Drosophila melanogaster: one gene and its partner. Each later gene encodes a partner of the first gene's protein in a complex. Each region holds a gene or a part of one and is shown on either strand. Other genes may lie near its edges.

The links. The genes of interacting proteins can lie anywhere in the genome.
Region 2: Nup44A (region 1) and Nprl2 share a complex: the UniProt entries of both Drosophila melanogaster proteins name them as parts of the GATOR complex.

Annotation. Positions count from the first base shown.
Region 1 is NT_033778.4:7,984,824-7,993,303, reverse strand, and holds Nup44A (nucleoporin at 44A), read right to left. Parts: upstream 4,843-8,480; 5' UTR 4,795-4,842; intron 4,773-4,794; exon of another isoform or gene 4,677-4,772; intron 3,789-4,676; exon of another isoform or gene 3,590-3,788; intron 3,473-3,589; 5' UTR 3,352-3,472; coding exon 3,241-3,351; intron 3,180-3,240; coding exon 2,742-3,179; intron 2,646-2,741; coding exon 2,437-2,645; intron 2,377-2,436; coding exon 2,070-2,376; 3' UTR 2,021-2,069; downstream 1-2,020. Other genes in the region: ACC (Acetyl-CoA carboxylase), read left to right, coding at 7,543-7,702, 7,853-8,238, 8,302-8,423. UniProt on the Drosophila melanogaster protein: Probable component of the nuclear pore complex (NPC). Involved in maintaining the localization of another nucleoporin Mgtor to the nuclear envelope of early meiotic female germline cells.
Region 2 is NC_004354.4:16,880,161-16,887,765, forward strand, and holds Nprl2 (nitrogen permease regulator-like 2), read right to left. Parts: upstream 4,206-7,605; 5' UTR 4,081-4,205; coding exon 3,904-4,080; intron 3,842-3,903; coding exon 3,335-3,841; intron 3,247-3,334; coding exon 2,692-3,246; 3' UTR 2,524-2,691; coding exon of another isoform or gene 2,450-2,523; 3' UTR 2,359-2,449; downstream 1-2,358. Other genes in the region: CG4872 (uncharacterized protein), read left to right, coding at 1,295-2,090, 2,161-2,358, 2,450-2,523; Polr3I (RNA polymerase III subunit I), read left to right, coding at 4,441-4,448, 4,526-4,640, 4,704-4,856, 4,916-5,356; DENR (density regulated protein), read right to left, coding at 5,454-5,641, 5,807-6,068, 6,158-6,277; CG4880 (uncharacterized protein), read left to right, coding at 6,807-7,250, 7,463-7,605. UniProt on the Drosophila melanogaster protein: An essential component of the GATOR subcomplex GATOR1 which functions as an inhibitor of the amino acid-sensing branch of the TORC1 signaling pathway.

The sequences.
Region 1 (8,480 bases):
CTCAACATGTTCCCGAAAAAAGGGTTTCTGTTTTGGTTCCAATGGTAAACTAACGAGCAAAACGTTCTAATGACCCAGAAATTAGATGAAAAGCGGTTAAAAACAATGCAATGCAAAATGAAACAATTGTTAGGAATGCTAGTCTAGAAACCTTTACTTAATTCTAAGTTAATTTCCTCAATTCGCATGCTTAAGAATTGAAATATTTATCGCAAATCCCGAGCTCATAGTTTAATTTAATTCAACACACTTTAGCTACTTGTAATTTGTTCTCTTGGCCCACAAAAATCACTTGAAACCAAAATTACAATTACATTGAAACCCAGCAACCGAAATTGCTGTCCATGGAGTGTGGGAACATTGCGAAACACCACCCCTGGCAATAAAAAACGAGAAACAATCTTTTGCGCATTAATTTCTTTTTGCCGGTTAAACACATATAAGTGATTCGGGCGACCTACCACGTTCGCGACCATGTGAGAGACCCCTGAGCTTTGACTTCCCACGCGGCGAGCAGCGCAACCACCACCCACCAGCGATTACAATATGCCCCAGACAGGGGTGGTTCGTCCTGGCCCAGAGATCGGCGTCAACACCATCGCCTTCGACGTAATACACACGTCAAAACTTCCAATTAGAGACAATCATTCGGATCTGGGACAGGGAACTTGTGATACCGAACCGGGGTGGTTTCATCGGTGACTACAAAAGCCATCGAGCTGGTCGGACGGATTTCATTCTTTGGATTACCAGCAGAGCAACAGGATCGCAAGGACGAAGCCCGCGGAGGGGTGGTTGCATATCATTATTATTATTATAGTTTTGTGGTGTCATCGAAAGTGCGATGATTTCGTTTTTATTGCGGTTCGAGTCAATTAAGTGGAATATTTCGCGACATTTCTGAATGCTTTTCCGTGTTAAACATAATAAAAACCCTGTTTTTGGGCACTTGTCGGCGTCCTAGTTAATTTATGCACATGTGGATGGAATGTAAATGGAAGTGCACTTGAAAGGGATTTATGATCCATTTATGTACTCCCGTGTGAGGAGTTAATCGAGAATACATAGCCCATAAATAAATCTCAATAAAATCGATTTGAATGCAACCACTGAACCCGAAAATGCCTTTTCCTCCTCACCTCTGCTGGTCCCGACCCACTCGAATGGGATGGATCTATCTCGGATTTGGCCTGTGCCATGGGGTTTTTTAAAATAGCTAGCACATCAGATCTGCCGCTCTCCCTCAAACACACACATGTGACCGTATGGAGAGTGCTTGCCATTATAGTCACTATCTCTAGTGCTCGCTCTTTCTCGTTGTGTGAACTTTAATTCTGTTTTGATTCTTCGCCTTTCGGGAAGTTGTCCAAAATCAATAGTTGCTCTAGTTTGCCAGCCGGCAGGCAGAAGTTGAAGTAACATCCCATTGTTTTTTTATTAGTTTCTGGCACTTTGGAGCATTGAGAGCTCCACGTTTTGTGATGTAACGCGAAAATGCCCTAGGAAAAGCGATCTGAGGAACACTGAACTGGGGAAATGTGGACCAGAAAGCTATTCATTGGATTCGCAAGAATGCCGGCTTCTAATCCGAGATGTAAGTGGTGGTATCAAAACACACAGGCCTTCCGAATATTCGTTTAGACCCATTTCGTATGGGAAGTATCCACGAATTACGCAAATGATGCGATTCCAACTTTATAGCAAAACGTACAATCCGACAATAACCGAGTAGATTTATTGATTCATGATTCGGGACTACTAAGATTCGTTGTGTCTTCTGGTGCGCGACGAACACTACGTGGACTATTCCGCACAGTGATATAAGTTTGGTTCATGGTGGCACCAAGATAAAGTTTAATCAAAAATATTTTTCTAGAAAATTATCGTTCCACGGAATCTTTAAAACGATTGAATAATGCGTAAACCCATTGATAGTTCACTTCATTAATAACATTAACATTAATACCGTGAACTCTAAACATAACTAAAGAAAACCACTCATATTGAAAGGCAAGCGGCTGAGGTTTAACTTAGGAATTTATTCGGAACTCTTACAATTAAGAACAAGATCAGTGCCACGGCACCTGGTTGCCGATGGTGCCCTTTTTGTAGAACTTGGCCGTGGCCGAGGCGGTAGTGGCCAGTGTCGGAGTGGGCGGAGCAGGCTCGTAGGTGGGTCCGCTGCCCTCTGCCTTCAAGACGGCGGCACAGCGCCACTGCCGGTTGTAGTTCATTCGCCACAGACGCACACAACCGTCGTCGCCCGTGGAGATCAGCATCGTGGCCAGCATATTCCAACAGACGCGCCACACTGGGCAATTGTGCTCGCTAAACTTAATGGTCTGGATGTCCAACTTGGAGATGTCCGTGGCGTCCCTTTAATTATAAAAATTATTATTATTAAATGATTTTGGGTCTTTAAATTGTCGATCTTACGTTACACCCCGCAAGTTCACAATATAAAGATCCTTGCTGGCCACTGCCAGCATGTGAAAGGTGCGTCCGGCATTTGGAGCAAAGGCCACATCCGTGACCGGATCGGTTATATCATTGACAGTATCGATTTTAACGCACTTTCGGGAATTCTCGCTGTAGGCGAATAAGAAGACCTTGCCAGTAGGCGTGGCTGCCTCGTCGCTGCCCGCCTGCAAAATAATTTATGAAAATTAGGCTTATTCTTACTCCACAGATAATAGAATTAATCCTTAATAGACTAAGACTTGGAATTTAAATATACTCACCGCCAGCAGCTGGGTGACCATGTAAGTGGAAGTGTTCCAGGACAAACAGCTCAGCGGCAATTTGTTGCTAATCTCGTGCTGCACGGGCCACTGCGAGAGGTTCATAATGTCCGGGGCCTCATAGATGCGAATAATGCCGTCGGCGGAGGCGGTGGCCAGCAGGAGTCCCAGGTACTTGGGTGCAAACTCCACATCCGTGACACTGGTCCGCGAGTCTACAAGGGTGGTGCGGCGCACCCAGCGGCGAGTGGGGGTATTGGTGGAGGATACCTTTTCGCCAATCACCTCCTCCCAAACGGAGGCGGTGCGATCAAATGAGCATGTGGCCACAACCTGGCCAAATTCCGGGTGCGCCCAGGAAACGCGCCAAATGGAGCCGGAGTGCGCTTTCCAGCTGCTCGTGACATTCCACTTGCCCTGCCCATCCTCGTCCCAAATCTGCAAGCAGAAAATCCGGATCACCTAGGCTGTTTATCGTAGGAATAATTCGAGTCCTCACCTTGACGGTCTGATCGCTGGAACAGGTTGCCATCCTGCGGCCGTAGTAGTCGAAGACCACGTCGTGTATCACATCCTTGTGGTCGGCAATAATGGGTTCCACGTCGAACATGATAAAAACTCAACTTATTTACCGAAATGTTGTTTATAAAATGCACGCGCCGAAAAATCTGCGCCGGTAATGCAGCCCTACAAGGAGAGACAGGGTTGGCTTGCAAACAGCCGCCGAACAGCTGTTGTTTACCTTGCTCAGTATTTTTTCAGTACGCCCAGGCGAACGGTCACACCGAGTTAGTGGTCCGAATTACGCGTGAAATACGAATAAAAAATCGAGCGAAAAATAACAAAACACAGTACTCTAGTCGATCACAAGCTGATAACGTATCAGCCGTGCCACACGCCCATCCGGGATTCGCGAGAACCACACTAGTCGGAGAGTCAGGACTCCAATAGCCGCCAAGAGGCCGTTTTGCACCCGGAAAAGAACAGTTACACACAACAAAATTGCCAACCGAAAGAAACGTGCGAAGCGCAGTGCGATGGAGAAGAGTAAGTGCGGTAATCTAAGCACTAAACGGGTAATTACGGCCCGATCCTATACGATACGATCCGAGCGAAATGTATGCGCATATGTGTATGCAAATGAGTGGGGTGAACAACCCCACAGCATAGTCGTATGTAGATCGGGACCCGCGTTTGTTTAGCATTTGAATTCGCTGGCTAAAGTGCGGATTTCAATCAAAGTGCAATGGGCAGCATAAATTCCAATTGCTTCCATCTGCAATATGCTCAATATGTCTTGCCTTGCTCGCCCTCTCTCGCTCGCGCACTCGCTGCTGACCTTGATTCCTATTGGATTTTACACATCGCGCGATGCCCGTGACGTATGTGTGTGTGTGTGTATGGGCGAGAGAGCAGCATAGCTGCCAACGTGTGTGTATGTCGGCCGGCATCAATTACCTAATAAGAACTAAATTGGAGACTGCATTTCTTGTTGGTATTGTATTGCATAAATACGATATAAGTATATTTATGAAATATGAGCATATCACAAGGACTCGAATCGGAAATTCAATCCAACGCAGTCACTACAAATTCGTAGTATTTTGCTAAGAAATTAAAAAACAATTTAACTGTAAACCGTGCACTTTACAGTGTCTACAAGATTTCAAGTGTGTTATCACGCACAAATCGGTTGTTTGTTGCTCTGTAGAAATCCTAGAGATAAGCACATCGAAATCAGGCGTTTCACACGCGACCGACTTTCGGTTCTATTATTATTTGGCTGTGATATCAGTAGACGGTTTTTTTCTGGCCACGCGCCAAACATGAATAATTCGAACAGAATCGAACACCGAAATACAAAAATTTCCGTGCGATAAGATGCCGGGAAAGATTTGGAATTGAGCCCGAGCCGAAACCATGAAGACCCGTCACCGTTAAGTATTAATCATAATCGGTCGCCAAGGCCAATGCCGAAATCGGAAGATTTTTCAGGCACTCGCCGCCTATCTGAGATTAAAGCGGGCGTCGCGTCGGGAATTTCTTTTATGACTTTTAAAAAACCTCTGCTGATGCCGGGAGCAGCGAGCATCACGGAATGAAAACAAATCAGCGGCGTTCGCGTGTTCTGCTCGTGGCAGCGCACTGAATTCGTTAATAATAATTCGATTCAAGTGCATCGCGCTAATCAATTTCTGGCGTTTTCGCCCATTTAACCCTAATCAGCATCGCTTGCCACTTACGCCAGCAAATTGAGAAATTATGGTCGTTGTTGTTGCTGCTTGCTGCTCCCAGCAGCAGAGTGCATTTCCGTCAGCGGTTGGGTCAACTCCCAGATTAAGTCCAGCTGGAGCAGCAACAACAACAACAGCAGTACCGAATGCCATCGGCGACCTTGACATTGAAAAGCTACCGCCGCCCATGAGACAGAGATACATGGAAGAGAAAAGAGCGGGACGCACTGCTAGTGACAGAGAGGGGTAGACGGTTGTTGGCAACAGCTGATCGCCATCATCATGTCGCTCTTATCTTTTATCAGCCGCAGACCGTTAAGGTATAATTGCTGTGCAACAGTGGAACTTTCCTATAGTGGAACTCACTGATGTTAAGCTGATTGCGATTGCCGCTGGAAGGGCATGCTTTTATGGTTAGTTTTTATGAGTTTTTAGTTTGGAAACTACGCAAAAAATCCAATATAAAACAAAATGTCATTGTAGTTATTCCAGAACTTGTTGAATCGGTATATACAGAAACCTTATTCATCACTGACGACAATAAAGAAATGATTTTGTTAAATATTTCTCTGGTGCCACTGTACCCAGCATTTATTTATTCGGACATTGTTATGGCATAATTGGTTCACAAAAAGATCACTGAAACCGACGGAGCACACTGGTCGTCATTACTTGAGCCACCTTCATAAAAATTGTTATTAATCCGGCAGGTTGCCCCGCTTAATTCGACCGCCTTTCTGTTCGAATTAGTGGCGCTCCTTGTACATATGTAGTTCTTATGTAGTACATAGTGCACATATATTCCTCCTGGTCACTTGGCGCTGGCTGAGCCAGCAATAAGCAAAACAATAACACAACAACAACAACAACAATTGGCTTGGCGACCCGCGAGACCCGCTGGCGATTAACATACGAGCGCAACAACCTGAACACGCACAAACACAGGTCCGCGCACGAAAACCTGGCCGTAGACGTAGTCAAAGCTATAGCTATAGTTGATATTGATAGTGGCGACGCCGAAGTCGGCGTCCGCTGCGCGTTCGGAGAAGCGGCGTTCAGGCATCGATAGTGCTTTTCGGACGAGCATGGCCCAGTTGAGTTCCAATCGTCGGTCACTGCAGTAGCCATCTAGAAATCGTGCGGAACCAGTCAGTCTAGGAAGTTCAAACCGATCCTACACGGTCTACTACAATCCGATCCGATCCGGTCCGACCTCGTCTTCGAAACTGCCATCACAAGCTAAACAAGGGCACACGCAGAGTGGTAAAGCGAGCTGAAACCGTAGATCTAAATCCTAAGACGAACTAAACCCAAAACACAACCGTATCATATCCAGCCAAGGTCCCGAAAAGTGCTGCCCTAGAGATAATCGCACGTCGAGTAAGATTCTTTTGTTTTCGACTGTTGAGTAATGCCAGCAGAGTTCTTATCACAGGATCGGTGGTAAATAAAGCACAATTAAAAGACTCCATCCATTGCGAGGGTGCGCACTAACGGAGCTACTTGAGTACGGGACCGGGCCACACCTGTTGAGTCGTTTCCAGCGCAGAGTGTAACCCAAGTCCCAGTTCTCTGCGCGATTTCCGAGTAAGCGGTTACATAACACCCCGCTGGTTGCCAGAGATCGATTCCGGTGTCCAATCCGACTTTCCGTGTCTTTCAATGCCCGCCGCCTGGCTGGCACACTTACACACGTGCACACATGTATACTGTAATGCCAAAATCATTGACCTCTTCTGCTGGCCATACCACACCGATTTGCATTTCCTCACACCAACCAACCAACTGGGGGGGTTTTGTTTCTGTCAGCTTAAGTTTCTTCAATTTTCCCTTCGCGCTCTTCGCCGTTTTGTTTTAATTTTAAATGCGCTGCACATTGAACCTCATATCCGAAATTAATTTTCGTGTTTTTAAGTTTTATCGCCCTGCCAAAGGGTATCTAAAGTAGATTATTTAGTAGTGAAGCCATCTTTGACCCGGAAACAGCTTGAGCTCCTGTATTTTCGTATAGTATATTGAAAACTTTGATATGTACTTAGATTGAAACTTTTCAAGTGATATATGCAGGTGTAATAGTGTTGATTAAATCGTAATTCGACACCTGTCACTAATTACGTAGTTGCTAAACATAATATTCACTTGCGCCTTTACAACGTACTTTGAAATACTTATTGCATACTTTTGAAGTCACCCGCTTGATCTGTAGATTAGTTTGAATTTCCCGTAGAGTATACCTTATTCGTTGACCACATCTCTTATCAGCTGCCTCATTGACCTGGCAACGATTTATTTTTGGGTCTCATATGGTTGTTTTTTCGGTTTCTTAATTGTATCTCGCAAACTAGTTAATGCATTGATTAGCATTTTCATTTTGTTTTGTTTCGCCGCTTTGGCCTACAATATCGTGGCAAGGTTTTTGAACTTGAAAAGTATCCGAAACAAGATGATGCACAGGCACTTTCACTATCTACACACTGTAAACTAACCCAGCTAGCTGGCCACCAGATAGCAGATTATCTAATCCGATTTGCATTCACCGATTTAAAGCAGCTTTTTGGATTTAGCCGATGTTGATCACGATATTAGGCACTCTGGCTGCTTTTCTCGCATTCCTCTTGACATTGATCTTTGGCCGCGGCCAGAAAAGATCCAAACCCGTCCAATCGTCTGCAGCAACATCCGCCACGACAGCAACAACTGGCGACAGCGACAACGGCAACACCAATCGTAAGAATCCCCCACTTTGCTAAACCGAAACACTTGAAGGGCACACAAATCGCACACCTAGCTGATAACCCAGTTTAATTAGTTCATTATGTGTATACGACTTTTGACCACGACTCACGCGTACCTTGTTTTCCTTATCTCTGCTTACAGACAACTCCAGCGTGATTGCAGCTACAGCAACGGCAACAACCACCAGCAGCAAGCCTCCTATTGCTCCAGCAGCACCTCCTTCGGCGGTAAAAGCGAGTGACAAGCGATTCCCCAAGGCGTGCATCAAGAAGGTCCAGTTCTCCAGCGAGAGCCTCCGGTCCGACGTGGATGAGCTGTGCGACCAGCTGAAGGATAGCGCACTCAGCAATCTGAGCAACGACAACATTCGCATTGCCTGCCACCAGAACAACAACAACAGCAGCATCAACAAGAACCAGAACAACAACAGCATCGACATCAGCATCAGCATCAGCAAGATGAGCGAAACAAATGAGTCCAATGACACGGCCGCCCAATCCGCCGAGGGCGAGCGGCCCAGCTTTTTGGTACGATTCATCATATTTCCCATCTCTTGGCACCATCACTCAGCCACCGTTTCCCTTCCACAGGTGGGTGATGAGATCGACGAGCGGGCCGCCGAGGCGGGCGAGGCATGTGACGAGTTCCCCCTGAAGATGCAGAACGATGTCCGCCAGAATGGCGATATTTCCGAGCGGCGCAAGCGGTTAAGGTAAGTCGATTTGGGTTTAGCCCAAATGAAAATGGGACAGAAAACATCAGAAGTACA
Region 2 (7,605 bases), on another chromosome or scaffold:
TAATGTTTAATTTTCAATGTTAATAAAATCAAAAATATTCCTAGACATTGGGTGACTTTAATAAAATCAAAAATATTTCTAGACATTGGGTGACTTAAGGTGGTTTAAAAGTATCATAATTCAACACAATGCTATTCTTCTTATATAAAATCATGAAATACTCTCCCAATTTCTCACTGTGCACTGTAAATCCTAGCCGTTTGCATGAATGACATAATCAGTAGCCATTTAGAAGAATTCTACATTAGGAAGGGCGGTACTTTTCGCCCAGTGCATGGAAACCCATGAAATTGCCGCGCAAAGGTCAAGTCAAGTGAAATTGGTTGGGAAAAAGGCGAGAAAGCATGCGACGGAGGCGCACAGTGAAGAAATTATGTCAAAATTTGAATTAGCAGCTGGGAAAATAAAATGGCGCGACCAGAAAGACAATGGCGGCGCATAAATTAATTTCCCTATCAGCTGCAGCCTCGGAAAAGTGCATTCGCTTTTCACTTTCGTGTCGCCTGCTGCGGCTCCGAATTGGATTGGTCTGGGTGGGATTGGATTGGAGTGGAGTGGAGTGGACGGGTTGTGTGGGCTGTGGTTCAGTTTCCAGCTGTTTGCGAGAATCGTTTCGGGGCGATAAAGCCGTTGACAGAAGCGGTTTCCCTTTTTGAGCGCTGCGGTTTCGCCCTTGGCGTGCGGTGAAAATGCATTTTCCCAGCGATGCCGAAGAATGGGGAAAACTGCATTAGAAATGAGGAAAAACAGTCGCCCGTGAAAATTGGTTTTCGGTTGGTGGTTTTTCCCACTTCAGATAATGGTCTTTCCTGATTTAAACCGAACGTCATTGTTTTTTCTTCAATACGTTGAATATTATCAAATAATGATCACCTTGATCTTTCAATTTAAAATTTCAACGCTTTGCATCATCAAAGTTATCGACTGTTGATTTCGATAGGTGTTTAAATGATAGTAACGGTATTTTTTAGTTAATTTTTAAGTTTAAGTCAACAGTGCTGCCAAGATTTCAAACTAAATAAGCTTTTGTAAGACAAAAATGTACAATGAGTCCAATTTTCAAAATTGATAGAGTACAGTCACAGTATTTAAGCTTAATATATTTCTAATATATATTATCAGAAATTAAAACATTGCTTAATATAGTTATTTCCACAACAATATTCCTAAAACCTGGCATCCCTGGTCAGTGCATTCTTTGATCGTTAGTAAGATACTAAGTTGCATTCCAATTATAATTAGAATATTTTAATTTGCAAGAATTACTTTGTTTTAAAACCATTTCATTGCCAATATGAGCAGCTCTACGCCAGCTTACTACAATGCGGATGCTGTGCGTCAGGTTCTCACCTGGCCGCTGGTCAATAAGGCAGTGGAATCTGCACTTGTAGCTATAGTTAAGCAGAATCCGGAAACGCCCTCCACATCCTTTGCCTTTCAACCGAAGAGGACTTTTATTCCATGCGGCAAGGAACCTGGCAAGGTTCTGCTCACCATGCCCGCCTATGTGGGCAACTACAGGCTGGAATCGTCAAGGGATCCTGGGGAAGTGGAGCACACCCACTCAACACTGGCCTGCAAGTTGGTGACCTCGTTCAGTGGGAATCCCCGACGGGATCCTCCGCTGCCCAGCATCCATGCCCATGTGCTGCTGTTCGACAATCAAACCGGTCAACTGTCGGCCATAATGGAGGGCACGGACTTGACCACCTGGCGCACTGTATCCGCTTCACTGGTGGCCACCAAGTATCTGTACTTCAGGCGCTTTGGGGCGCAGGCGGAGCAGGAAAGGAATATCAACGTGGCCATCGTGGGCTGTGGAGTTCAAGGACAACTCCATGCTGCCGCTTTCTGCGCGAACTTCCGGGTGAGGCAGCTTAATCTTTACAATCGCACGCAGGCAAAGGCACTGGGTTTAGCGGACCAACTGCGGCAGAAATTGAACACCGAGAGCGGAACCCAGATTACTGTATGTCCAAGTCCTCACGAAGCTTGCCAGGATGCCGATATCATCTGCATCGCCACGTACTCCAAGGAGCCGCTTATCCAGTTGGCAGATCTGAAATCCAAACGGGCTGTTCATATTAACGGTAGGTCTGCTGTTATAATGGAATGCTGGATGGATGATGATGACCTACCCTTTATAACTTTCGATTTCAGCTGTGGGAGCCGGCGAAGTTCACTTTTCGGAGGTGGCTCCAAAGATTTACCAGCAGGCCAAGGTCTACGTGGATTGCTATGCCAATGCCGAGGCTGAATTGGTGGGATTACCTGCGCCGATCACCGCTGAAGTGGGTCAGATCATTCTGGATGGAAACTATCCCAAGGAGCTAGAAATCAGCATCTTTCAATCCATGGGTGCGTTTTTATTAAGTTTGTGTAACTATATGACTATCTCTGTCTGTTTCAAAGTTGTATCATTAAAAATTTCATACATTTCCTATTTAAGGCATGGCCTCGGAGGACGCCTGTGTGGCCCAGGCGGTTCAGGATTGCATTATCTCTAGCGCAAAGGATTCCTGATTGCTGTCCAGCTGGCAAAGCGATTCCGGAACCAGCCCAAGCCAAACCAGTGAATTCTTAAACTTTAATGTGTATATGCGCGTATATAAAAAAGCATTTGGAAACATAACAATCGGTTCGCTTACAAACTACAACAAACCCAACTGGCCGGAGAAGTCCTTCCGGTCGTCACTTCCAGATCACAGTCACATTCGTGTCCTTCTCGATATCCCGCTCGATGGTGCAGGGCGAGAGGCCCGTCTTGCAGCAGATCTCGTCAAAGCTGATCAGCCCGGTGTACATCTTCTGCCGCCCGGAAGGCACTGAGCCCGTAAACACCGGGTACTTGTGGATGCAGCGAATGAATCGGTGCTGCAGCCCGAAGATCACCATGCGACGCTCATCGATGTTGTGGTGCTGGGGGCACAATCTCTGGCAGATCGCTCGCAGAGTAACGCCGTGAGTCATCGAGGCGTAGAACTGAAAGATGCGCTGAACACTGGGCAGCGTCTTGTCCGGACGCAAGGCCACGTATTTCCGGCATGCGCCGCTCAGTGATGCGCTCTGGATGAGATGCTTTAGGTTCTGCGTCATGTACACGTTGCTGTACTTCAGGATTGGCAGCAGCTGAACGACCCCGTAGTAGACCAGATTCTGTATGCACGACTTGACCAGGTCCGTTTCCACGTCCGCTTCGGCGGCAATGCGGGCAACATGGTTGATTCCATTTATATAAGGCAGGATCTAGAGGAAACCATAACAGTCCAATGGGATTACTAAATTATTTACATCGTGAAGATTGTATAACTATAGAATCAGGAATAGTCCGCACCTGTTGTGTGGTAAGGTCCCAGTTGTCCAGCGGAGCATCGCGCAGGTTCGCCAGCAGCAGGGGCACCATGTGATCCTTGACCGGCGGCGGGTCCGGCTTGTGCATGACGATCTTCAGGTATATAGTGTTATCGCCCTCAACAATGGTGGCCACCTTCCGCTCGTTAAGGTCGCGTAGTACAGTCTCAAAGATGTTCTGTAGGCGGCGCTTGTCATCTTCGCGAGACAGGAAGCACGACTCCTCCTCCATCATTATGAGGTACTCGGACAGCTTCTTGACGACCGGCTCGTACTGGACGCTCCTGGCCCGCGAGTCGCAGACAAAGCATAGGTTAAACAGGAAGGCATTCCGTGCGTACTTCTGCTGATCCTGGATGCCCACTGGATAGCCGACTATCTTTACATCCATTGCGTTGACGGTGAGAATGCAGCGTTGAAGATGCTGCTTGGGTATGATGTAAACATTGATAGCATCGAACACATCCTTGGATATGTAGTTATCAGGAACCTGAGGGACGTGGATTTGTTCGAACTATACTGCGTTATCAGCGCTCCTGGGAACCAGCTCACCTGGCAGCTTATCTTGCAGCCCGCCGTCGCATGAAACTCGCTGAGGAAGATGCACCGGATCTTGCCCTCCGTGCTGCCATGGGCACCCGCTGCTCCAGCTCCTGATCCGCCTGCTCCATTCGTGACCGCGCCCGCCGTTGTCGACGTCGCAGCCGTCTCATTCGTATGGGAATGCATGCCGTTCAAAAGATTCCAGTATCACCGCATCCACATCCTCTGCTTCCTTCCGCGGAGTGGACTCCAAAGCTTTAACAGCAGGTGGCACAATCCAATAACAGTGGCGGAATTCGCTGTAATGTTATGGTAAGCGATGCTTTAGTGTGACCATAGCCTTACTGCAACAAATATACTCCAATGCAAAAACCAATTATAACAAATTTTAACAACAAATTAATTCAACACCATTTAATTTGTTGAGTAGATCGTTTTATTCATGTATAAATTATCTGTTATGTTAATATATAAAGGCCAACTGTAATATGCGTAGGTGGGGTATATTTTAGCGCTCGCTCTGCGGTCATACTAAAATTTGCAGAAATGGAAACGTGAGGATTGTTTTGTTTTTATTTAGTTTTTCCATTAAACAGCGAATAATATGCAGATGATAACGCTTCCATTTCAGGATCAATCCCACGTTCTCGTACCTCACCAATCTGGAGGTAATGCAGATTCTACAGAAGATCAAAAGCACCAAAAAGAAGTTCGGCATGCGCAACTTGGCCACGGTTACCTATGAGGTGTCGATTTTTTTAAATATTTAACTAATATATGATAAATTAACCAAACACTTTGTTCCACAGGCACTGCAGTATCTGGAGGAGTCGCCCTGCAAGACACAAACTCGTGAGAACATTATGAATTACGTTAAAGACCTGTCTTCTTATCGTCTAAAGTCCCAAGAGATCCTGCAAATGATCAACGATCCGCCTACAAGTGCACTACACACGCAACTGGTAAGGATTAGTCTATCATATGCCAGAAAGGCTAATTAAGTATATAATAACCTCCCCAGCTCATCGACGACAATAAAGCTCCACTAACCGATGAGGAGAACGAGAAAATCATTCAGCTGAGCTACAAACACTTCCATGGTGGAGAAACCAAAGGCGCTGCTAAGGAAACACCGGCGGAAAAGCCTGCGGAGTCCACTGCGAAGGCCGGCAAGCAATCTGGCGTAAAGCGTAATGCCCAGGCAAAATCCAATCCAGCGGAACAAATAGCTCCAGCGGACAAAACCACGCCAGGTGATGGAGTTACTCCTGCGAATGTCGCTACTCCTTCAAGTGAAGCCACTACTACTACTCCAGCAGAAGAAGCAAGCCCAGTGGAAACATCGTCTTCAGAAAATAATGCTACTCCAGCAAATGAAGCCACTACAGCGCCTGCAACGGATGCACCCACTTCAATGGAAACCAAGTCCAATCCGACACCAGATGGAGAAAACCTCGGGTAGCAGCCGCCAAAATAACCCATCCGCTTATTACGTTTAACGTTTCATATATTTATGTTGATGGAGCGTATAAAATAAGCTAAAAAAAAAGGTAAATTATTTATGTTCGCTTCTGATCGCCCAAATCCTCGATGACGTCCTCATCGATCTCGGCCCATTTTTCGGGTATGACATCGAACAAGTCATCCTTGACGTCACCCTGAATGACGATCTCGTCGTCTCCGGTAACCGAGGAGCCGCAGGCAAATTTCGTGCCAAAGAACTTGGCGGCCACCTTGAGATCAATATCTGGAACAGACAGGGAATGTATTATGCTTAGTTAACAATAAAGCTCATAAGTATATCTAATATATCTAAGTTACATGGTATGGTAATGGCTACTCATAGCATCCAGTGGGCCCGCATCCCCCTCCATTTCCTACTCTATACTCATAATGTGCGAACAGAACCTACCAAAAGTGCTCAATCCTGTGACCACGGTCACTGACTTCTTTTTGCCACGTGCCGCCCGCGAGACGCAGATACGCTTGGGCACGTCCTCTTTCTTCTTGACGCGCAACAGTCCCTTGCCACCGCGTTTCTGGCGCTTCTTGTCGTCATCCGTCCCGTCAGCGGCGGCAGCCTCCTCCTCAATCTTTAGTCGCTCGAAGTCATCGGGCATGTGGAGCTCCAGCCACTCCTTGCACTTCTCGTACTCCGGATAGTACTCGCAGTACTGCGTATAGTGGATATATATATATGTAAATATATGGGCCATATATGATCCCTAATATGGATTTTTCCCAGGTTTGAAGACGAACTCACCTCAATGGGCATCGTGCAGTGGCCACAGTACTTCATCTGGATCGGATAGGTGACGCCTTCGCGCGGACCCAACTGTAGGCGGTCGGCGACGCTGTTGGTGCCCACATCTTCGTTCGTCATTGCGGATCGGATTAACTGCCTGGGATTTGCTCCGGGTTATTGAAATATTAAAATAATGACAGTTTTAAGAAGTCGGCTACTGCAAACTGACCGTTTTTGTTTAGGCTCGTAAAATATACTAACATTGACACATGTTAAATAAATACCTACCTAAAATATACCTTTATTTAAATCGTAGTACAATTCCGACTATCAATAAGCTAAAATTAAAATTTACGTATTTTCATTAATTTTACATTGATTGAAACTATTTTAATTTATACCTTGTATTGTATTACAAAATACTTATTAAAATTGTATTTATTGGCAGAACAGAAGAATGTTTCGATAGTAAAATACCAAAATATGTTTGCCTATCAAAACAACACTCGTGAAATACTGCATGAAGGAAGCGGCATTTAGAATAATTTGCCGGTTTGTAACATGCAACCAAAGTTTTTACCAAATTGTATCACAGTAGGCTGATAATTGTATTCGAGCACAAGTCAGCCAAAAATATCCAGTTGCTAACGAAACAAGGCTTAATAAAATGGTCACATACAATACTCTAATACAGAACGAAAAGAATGAAAATGTGGTCGCCCCGATAAGCCGGCCATTCGCCAGAAAGAGGAGGACTGAGATTCGCCGCCTGCAGTCCAACAGGCGGTTGAATAAAAAGGTGTGCAAACACCATTTGGACATTGCCCATTGTACCCAGAAGAAGGCTCCATGGCGGAATTGGGCATACCTCATTCTCGCCCTCGCCGCAGGAATTGGCATGTTATTGCAGTTCACCGACAAGTTGTCCACGGTCAGCGGATTCCTGGAAAGCTACAAAAACCAGTACCACTCGATCGTCCACAACCAGGACAACTACTGCAATCCCTCCCGACGGCTGGGCGACATGGTCCTGCACGCCCGCCACCAGGTACTCAACCAGGATCTTGCATTGAACCAGCTAGAACTGGCACTGGACAACACCACCAATGAGGTGACTAGCGGGGAAACAGTAGATTTAATGTGCATCCTAAGCGGATTTTCCATATCACTTAGTATAGTTTACTATTGATTGTACTACCAGTTGTTGTATATGCTCATCCAGATTTATCCTGGTTATTGCAACAAACAACTAGATGATCTTTAGTAAACTTAATGAATTGCCAATATTTTGTGTATTAATATCCCGGATCTCCTTCCAAACAGGCAATCGTCTTGGTGGGCACCTCTGGCGTAGGCAAGAGCCACACTGCGCGAATCTTGCGCGAAACGTTTCCCTGGCCCGAGAACGTGAATACACTCTCCTGGACCGGCAGTTCTTCTTTGGGCCGAGTGAAGAGCATGCTATC